2 linked regions of the Mus musculus genome follow. The protein of the gene in region 2 interacts with the protein of the main gene of each other region in a pairwise test. Links are inferred from orthologs where the notes say so. Each region holds a gene or a part of one and is shown on either strand. Other genes may lie near its edges.

Region 1 (3,371 bases), on a different chromosome or scaffold from region 2:
CCAGCAGTTGCTCCATCCTCCCCAGCCTGTTTATCACTGAGTCCTACAGCATGCTCGTGTGGAGCTAGATGGTGGGGCACACAGACGATTGCTTTTTCCTCTTCCCCCACAAGGCACTCTGAGCACCAGAGAATCCCAGTGCCTGAGCCAGGCAGTTCAGCTTGGCTGTGGGTCTAACACGAAGGCTGGAGATTGGTCATGATGAACAGGCAACTACCAGAATCAGGCTGTAATGATCCCTTAAACACAGCAGTGACAGAGACGTACCCTGGAGAGACGGGGAGAGCAGGATCAATGCAACCTCTGGGACTAAGGTAAGAGGAGAGGTTTGGGAACACAGAAGAGCAAGAGAGCTTGGTAATCGGTAGAAATCTAGCTTAGAGAAGTGAATAAAATCTTCCATGAAGCTGAGAAGGAAAATGGCTGCAAGCAAGCCTTCAGAGGCGTAAACACAGACCCACCCTCTTCTCAGGTTCGATTATGATGGCATTTGTGTTTTCTTCAGACACAAGAACACAGGTAGCGTAGGACGACTTCAGCATATTGATCACCAGGTCATTGGAAAGTATGTCCAGCTTCTTTACTTGATCCCCAGTCACATTGGTTGAGCCAGCGATACCATAGCTAGAGGGAAGGAAAACCACAGAAAATAAGCCAAGGGCACCAGAGCCTCGATGAGAGCAACCATGAATGGATCTGGACGGAAGGCAGACATGCCAGGCATGCCCGGTTCAGGAAGGGCAACGGAGGGTGGACTTGCCTGGCGAGGCTGGCAGAGGGGAGCAGAGACACTGTTTGGAAAGCTCAGTGCCAGTGCTGAGGTCACACAAGCCGCTGGTCAGATCCATGTTTCCTAATCTTTTTCCCCCGCTATAGTGCCCACTACAAAGCCTTTTAAAGCAATCTTCCCCACTCCCCCATGAAACGTACACTTTAGAATACTGACAAAACACTGCCCTGTTTCCAGACTGTGTGTTTGTTTCTGTGTCTGTGCCTTTTACAGAACAAGGGGAGATTTCTATGTTTTTATTTTGTGCAAGAACCAGTGTTTAGCCCCACGGGTGGAAGTCCAATGCATCAGCTGAGAACAAGGAAGAGAGTCTGGGTTGGAGGGAGGGAGCTGGTGTCTGAGCTAACCTGAGAGACACCGTGGGGAAAGATCGGATGCCAGCACCCAATCGACTTCACACAGGCAAGCAGGGTTGCTGGCAGTGAGCTGCCCGCTCTAACTCCCAGCAGGGGCTGCTCCTAATGGTCTTCTAGGTCTCTTGGTAGAGTCAGTCCTCCAGGGTGGGAGGACCAATGAATTTTGGTTCTTACTGTCTGTGTGAGCTACCTGCAAGTCAGTCATTGCAGAATTCCCAGAACCGGAGACATTCATCCAGAATGCAGCCTGGCCTGCTTGGATGCAGGTTTAAGAAAGACACAGGAAGGAGGTGCAGGACACAGAATGGATGTGAGGGTTCAGCTGTAGAGCTGGAAATGGTTTAGGAGCGTGGTGGCACCCTGAGATATCTAGGATCTGGTTGTCATGACTTCAGTGACTGATTCCTTCAACTCTCTCTCTCTCTTAGACAAGGCCTCTCAGAGCTCTTATTGGCCTTGAACTCTATATAAAGGAGTATGACCTTGAACTTCTGATCCTCCTGCTTCTGCCTCCACACCCAAATACAGGAACTGAGGATGGAATCCAAGGTTTTGTGTTTGTTACTCAAGCACTCAACCAAGTGAGCTACAACCCTTGCTTCAACTGCTGAGAATATACCACCAGCCCCCAAACCTAAATTGCATCTGTATGACTTGGAAAAGGACAGCCCAATCTAGAAATGACCAAACAAGGGGCCCAGTTGACTCATTTGTCAGCATCAACCACCATCGCTGTCACTCTCTTCTAGACTGTAAAACAGTCCTGCCCTCTAGCCCTTCCACCTCCTCTCTTCTGCCTTGTCTCTCCTGCTTCACTAACACCAAGCAGCCTGTAGCCTGGCATTCTGTCTCTGGCTTTGGGCCTCTTTCTGAGCTCAGCTGCAAAGCCCACCCTGGTGGAAGAGGGTGTCTGGACACTTGCTGGGGATTACTATCCCTAGCACTTCTGCTGCACTGACAGCTTTTCTCCCTCTAGCTTGAAGTTGCCACCATCATGGCCACTGCTAAATCAGAAGGGGAACAGTACTGACAGGTGAAGTTGTTAGCATAAAGATGCCAACAGCAGCCCCCTTGTGCGAACCTCAGCTCTGTGAATCCCTGGTCTCTGAGTCTACCTCTCTTTCCTGCGTTCACAGAGGGAATGGCAACTCCCATGTGAGGCTGCCATTAGAAAATACACACACACACACACACACACACACACACACACACACACACAGAGAGGGGGGGGGAGGGAGGGGGGAGAGAGAAAGAGAGAGAGAGAGAGAACTCAGCACAACCCTTGGCACCTGGGCAGGGGAGTGGGAGGCGGGGCGGGTACAGATGGGAACAATTCTGGGGAGCCTAAAAACTTGGGGCAGAGTAGATGAAAGCCCAAGGCAAGAATTAGGATTTGGGCACTGCAGACAGTTTATCACAACTATGTGGAGAATCCGAAGCAGAACTGAGCTTCCAAGGTAAGATATGGAAGACACAAACACAGTACCAGCTTTGACAAGAACCTTTTTGTCCACACCACCTCGCTGGTGAGTGACAATAGAGTGCCTGGGAAAAGGAGACACTGCAGGTGAGACGCGAAGCCAGGGTAAGGGGGAGGGGCCAACTTGCCACCTCCCACTGGGCCCCACCTCTTAAAGGTACCAGCGTTTCTCAACACAACCTGCATACTGAGGACTAGGCTCCTGGCACAAGATCCCTTGAAACTTAAACCACAGCAAGGTGAGTTTGTGGGGAGAATAGACCTCCTACTCATGGGCCTCAGTCCCCCCAGTGAATTCTACTTAAAAACCCCAGCCTTCCTAAAATCTACAAATAACTTCCTGGGAACCTACTGTGCTAGGGCAGCATTGCTGAACAGGGCAGACTAGATCCCTGGCCTTAGGGAGCTTAATACTGCAGTGAGAAAAGACAAACAAGAAAATAGCTGTTTCCAAATGAGCGTGATAGGTAAGAGAGGGGCTACGGATGTCAGGTAGCAGGTTAGGTGATTAATTTAGATGGTCAGAAAGGTGCTCGATGCTAGGCTTCGCTCGATGCTAGGCTTCCAACTGCATGAACTTTTTTGTTGGTTGTTTTGGTTGTTTTATTTTTTGTTTTTGAAAGAGAATATACTCCAAATCCCCGAAGAAGCCTGAACCAGTCGACAATGACTACAAAGCAAAGGCACATAAGCAATTCAGAGGAAATAGCCCATTTTTCTAGAAGAAAGGGGCTGCATGCTGTAT
Region 2 (3,733 bases):
TATTGAATCCCCTCAGAATTTATGCATCAAGTTATGTGGCATTTTGTTTTTCATACGGCACTAAATTTACTAGAATACTAGTCAACTTAGGGCAAGCATGGTAATGACATGGCTGTAATTTTTGCACTTGGGAGGTGGAGGTTGGAGGACCTATTCAAGGTCATTCCCCCACTACCTAGTTAGTTCATGGTCAGCCTAGGACACAAGAGACCCTGTCTCACAAAACTTAAAAAAAAAAAAAAAAAAAAAAAAAAAAAAAGTCTACTTAAGCCAACAACAGTGACTCTTGATTCTCCTATGGATGCAGAGAGTCAACACATGCGCATGGACACCAAAGCCCAGCGCCTGCGCACTGGGCAGTTTTTGCCTTTTGGTTCCCCCCCCCCCCCCCTTTTTGGAGTGTGCGCACCAAGAAAGACAAAGGTGGTGAAAGTGACCAAGCAGTCATTCGGGCGCATGCCCATCCCTAAATTGCCCAGGCTCCATGGGGCTCACTTTGTGGAGGCGGAAGTCCAATCCGATGCAGCGAGCGCGGCCCCCCTCTCCCTTTGATTGGTTTGCTTCCAGTGTTGTGGGGCGGGGAAAGGAAGGGACAGGGACAGTGGAAGGTTGGAGTGGTACAGAGAGCGTTCGCCTCGTTCTGCGCAAGCGCAGAGAGGCGACCAGGAGGGGGCGTGAGAGAGTGCAAGAGAATGTGGAAGCCCTGACGCGCTGGCGAGCGGGAGCTGGGTCGCTAGCCTAGACGCCTGCGCCTTGGCCCTCCGGCTCCGCGCGCGGCGGGCGGGTGCCCTGTGCGCCTGCGCAGTAGGCGGCGGCAGCAGGGGGAGGTGGAGGCCGTGGAGCGGCAGCGGCGGGTCCCGGGACCGAGGCAGCAGCGGGGGCGCCGGCGGGCGGAAGCTGAGGTGACGAAGGCGGCGGCGGCGGCGGCGGCCGTTTCCCTCACGGTGGCGGAGACCAAGGCAGCGGCGGCGGCGGCGGACGGGGAGCGGCCCGGCCCCGGCCCCCTGCTCGTCGGCTGTAGCAGGGCCGCCGTGGGGCCGGCCCGGCTCCCGCCCCCCGCGGCTCCCCCTCCGGCTCCTCCTCCAGGGAGACGCCGGGGACCCGGCCCGGCCCGCACTCAGGGCTCTGTTTCAGCTGCTGCCGGGCCAGTCGGAGGTGGTGGCGGCGCCATGGGCGGCCTGGCCTCTGGGGGGGATGTGGAGCCGGGACTGCCCGTCGAGGTGCGGGGCTCCAACGGGGCCTTCTACAAGGTGAGACGGCGCGTCGACCCGGGCCACCCTCCTTAGCCCCCTCCCCCAGCCGAGGCAGGGAAGAGTGGAGCGGGATCGAGTTTCTGGAGCTTGGTCTTGACCCTTAGAACCTTCGACCCACGTTCCCACTCGAAACCCTCCCGTGGCGATCGTGGGAGTTAACCCTCGTGCTTTTATTTTGAGCTCGCTGTTACACCTGCTTTTATCAGCTGAAAACATGGCCATCAGGTCATTCCTGTGCGGGGATGGGAGCCCCGGGTCCCTTTGGAGAAAGCCCTTTTCCTAGCTTCTAATCGACTTTTCTTGTTTTTTTTTTTTTTTTTTTTTTTTTTTTTTTTTTTTTTTTTTAGTGTAGGCGATACTTCAGCTTTTAATCACATCACCCCTGCAGCCCAAGCACATGGAGGATTCGCATTCTTTTCCTACATGACCCCCTTGGGAAGGTCCACTGTCCCACATTAGGTCTTCAGGGAGCCTTCTGCCTACTGGCTCTAGACCATTTGCTCAACTTTTGGTCTTAAATTCCTGTTCCCAGGCTGACAAGAAATGGTCAAAACCCATCTGTGTTATTTAGCATTAGCATCTTTGGCCTCAGGTTTTTATCAGCCAGCCATAAAGTGGATTTGTTGGACAAGTTTGTCACCCACCACACCTATATTCCAAAATCACCTATGAGGGATGGATTCACGCTTATCTCTTTGACTCTAGATATATTTAGGTCATTCCTCTATCTTCTTGGTAAGTTTAAGCTTCACTGTCTCTCAAAGGCCATCTCAACAAGTTCTTATTCTAACAGATTTCTGCTTGTTGACAATCCTTCTGGAAAGAAAAAAAGTATCTTTCAGAATTGCTTCTTTAATCAGCTTTTTCTTTGCCTAAGATTTGATTCCTGTGAACTTTTTTAAGGGGTGTGGTTGGGACAAGATCCCCTCCCTGGCTGCACTTGAACTCTTCCTCAGCCTAGGATTACAGCTCTGGCGTTACTGGTTGAGCCACCATGCCAGACCAGACTTTTGTTTTTTCCTTCTTTCTATCCACCACCCACCCCATCTTCTGTATCTGTCCTGAGTCTATTCTGGATCCCACGCCCCAGATATTTTCTTCTTCTGATCAGTGGGGTTCTGAACATCTTTTGACTTTTATGAGTGGAATTGTCCCGGACACGTTTGGTCCCTCTCTTACTCTTCATCCTGGAGAGAAAGAGGAATTTCCATAGCATGAGATGGGTGAGAAGAGCCCCTTTTTCTTCAGGTTTCCTCAGGTTGTCTGTCCCCCTACCCTAGTAGAACTTCTACTTTCTTATGCCCTTGGAAATAACTTTCTCTGACTCTACTATGAAATTGTATCTTTTTTGTAGCTGAAAAAAGACTTAGGTTTGCCCTACCCCTGTAGATGGTTCCTACCCTCACTTCAACTGATATGCTAGTTATCCATTATAAAGGCCAGGCCATTTTTTTCCCTTTTCTGATCAAGTTCTTTACCCAGTGCCTATGGGTGCACATACCTATTAGCTTTAATGCAGCTTCTCAACTAAGTCTCGGTCTTTTTAGCTTGGTATTTCTGTATTCCTGTGTATCCTTGATGATGTCTACCTGTCTAGTCTGTGTATAGCTGAAGAAGGCTCCTAGCTGATTCTGTCACTTTCCTAACTCTTGGTACTTTTTCTTCAGACCAGAACAGTGTCTCTAACATTTCTGTTTTCTGTAGCAAAAGTCTTTAATTCTTTTGGCTTCTGAGAGGACACATTAATGTTTTAATATCTATTTCACCCACATTTGTATTACCTTTGTTAAAACAGTCTCCTCAGGCTGGGTATGGTGGTACATACTCTAACCCTAGTACTTAGAAGGCTAAAGTAGGATTGTTGAAGTTCAAAACCAGCATGGGGAATGGAATCCAGTCTAAAACAACCCAAACAAACCCAAAAAGTACTCTTTATTATGCTCTCTTTTCCTCGATATGTTAGTCTTCATCTGTATCCTTCTAACATCAAAATGTTAAAAATTCCAAAAAAGCTGTGTGTAGGTGTGTGTGTGTATATACATACATACACACACACACACCTACACACACACCCACCCCCGTTCGATTTCTGGGTACAGGATTTCTCTATGTAGCCGTGGCTGCCCTGAACTCAAACTCTGTGGGATAGGTCTGCCTTTGTTGAGTGCTGGGATTAAAAGCATCCACAACTACTCTTAGTTTGAAAAGTGGTTCTTAAATTGAGTATGAGATCAAGATAAGATATTTGCATTTGGTTTAAGGAAGCTCAGGAGCCATGCACAGCTGGGACAGATGAGTGCTCAGTTCCAATTAACTGTATGACATGGTTGGGCTGGGACATGAATTCTGTTACACATATGGGTATCCAACAGAAAGTCTCTCTTTTATCCTTTTATTCTGTGGGCCAGAGCAGTGATAGATTTGAGGGAAGCAGGGACAGGATTCTTTGATAGTATAGAGTTAATAAAAGCCAAATATTG

Evidence for each region.
Region 1: the proteins of Fxr2 (region 2) and Fbp1 interact in binary tests that used the Homo sapiens proteins (3 or more experiments, as listed by UniProt). The two-hybrid records come from large-scale screens. The link is inferred for Mus musculus from reciprocal best matches to the Homo sapiens genes FXR2 and FBP1.

What each region holds. Positions count from the first base shown.
Region 1 is NC_000079.6:62,874,688-62,878,058, forward strand, and holds part of Fbp1 (fructose-1,6-bisphosphatase 1), read right to left. Parts: exon of another isoform or gene 2,377-3,371; intron 625-2,376; coding exon 462-624; intron 1-461. UniProt on the Homo sapiens protein: Catalyzes the hydrolysis of fructose 1,6-bisphosphate to fructose 6-phosphate in the presence of divalent cations, acting as a rate-limiting enzyme in gluconeogenesis. Plays a role in regulating glucose sensing and insulin secretion of pancreatic beta-cells.
Region 2 is NC_000077.6:69,632,149-69,635,881, forward strand, and holds the start of Fxr2 (fragile X mental retardation syndrome-related protein 2), read left to right. Parts: upstream 1-822; 5' UTR 823-1,169; coding exon 1,170-1,250; intron 1,251-3,251; exon of another isoform or gene 3,252-3,371; intron 3,372-3,733. UniProt on the Homo sapiens protein: mRNA-binding protein that acts as a regulator of mRNAs translation and/or stability, and which is required for adult hippocampal neurogenesis. Specifically binds to AU-rich elements (AREs) in the 3'-UTR of target mRNAs.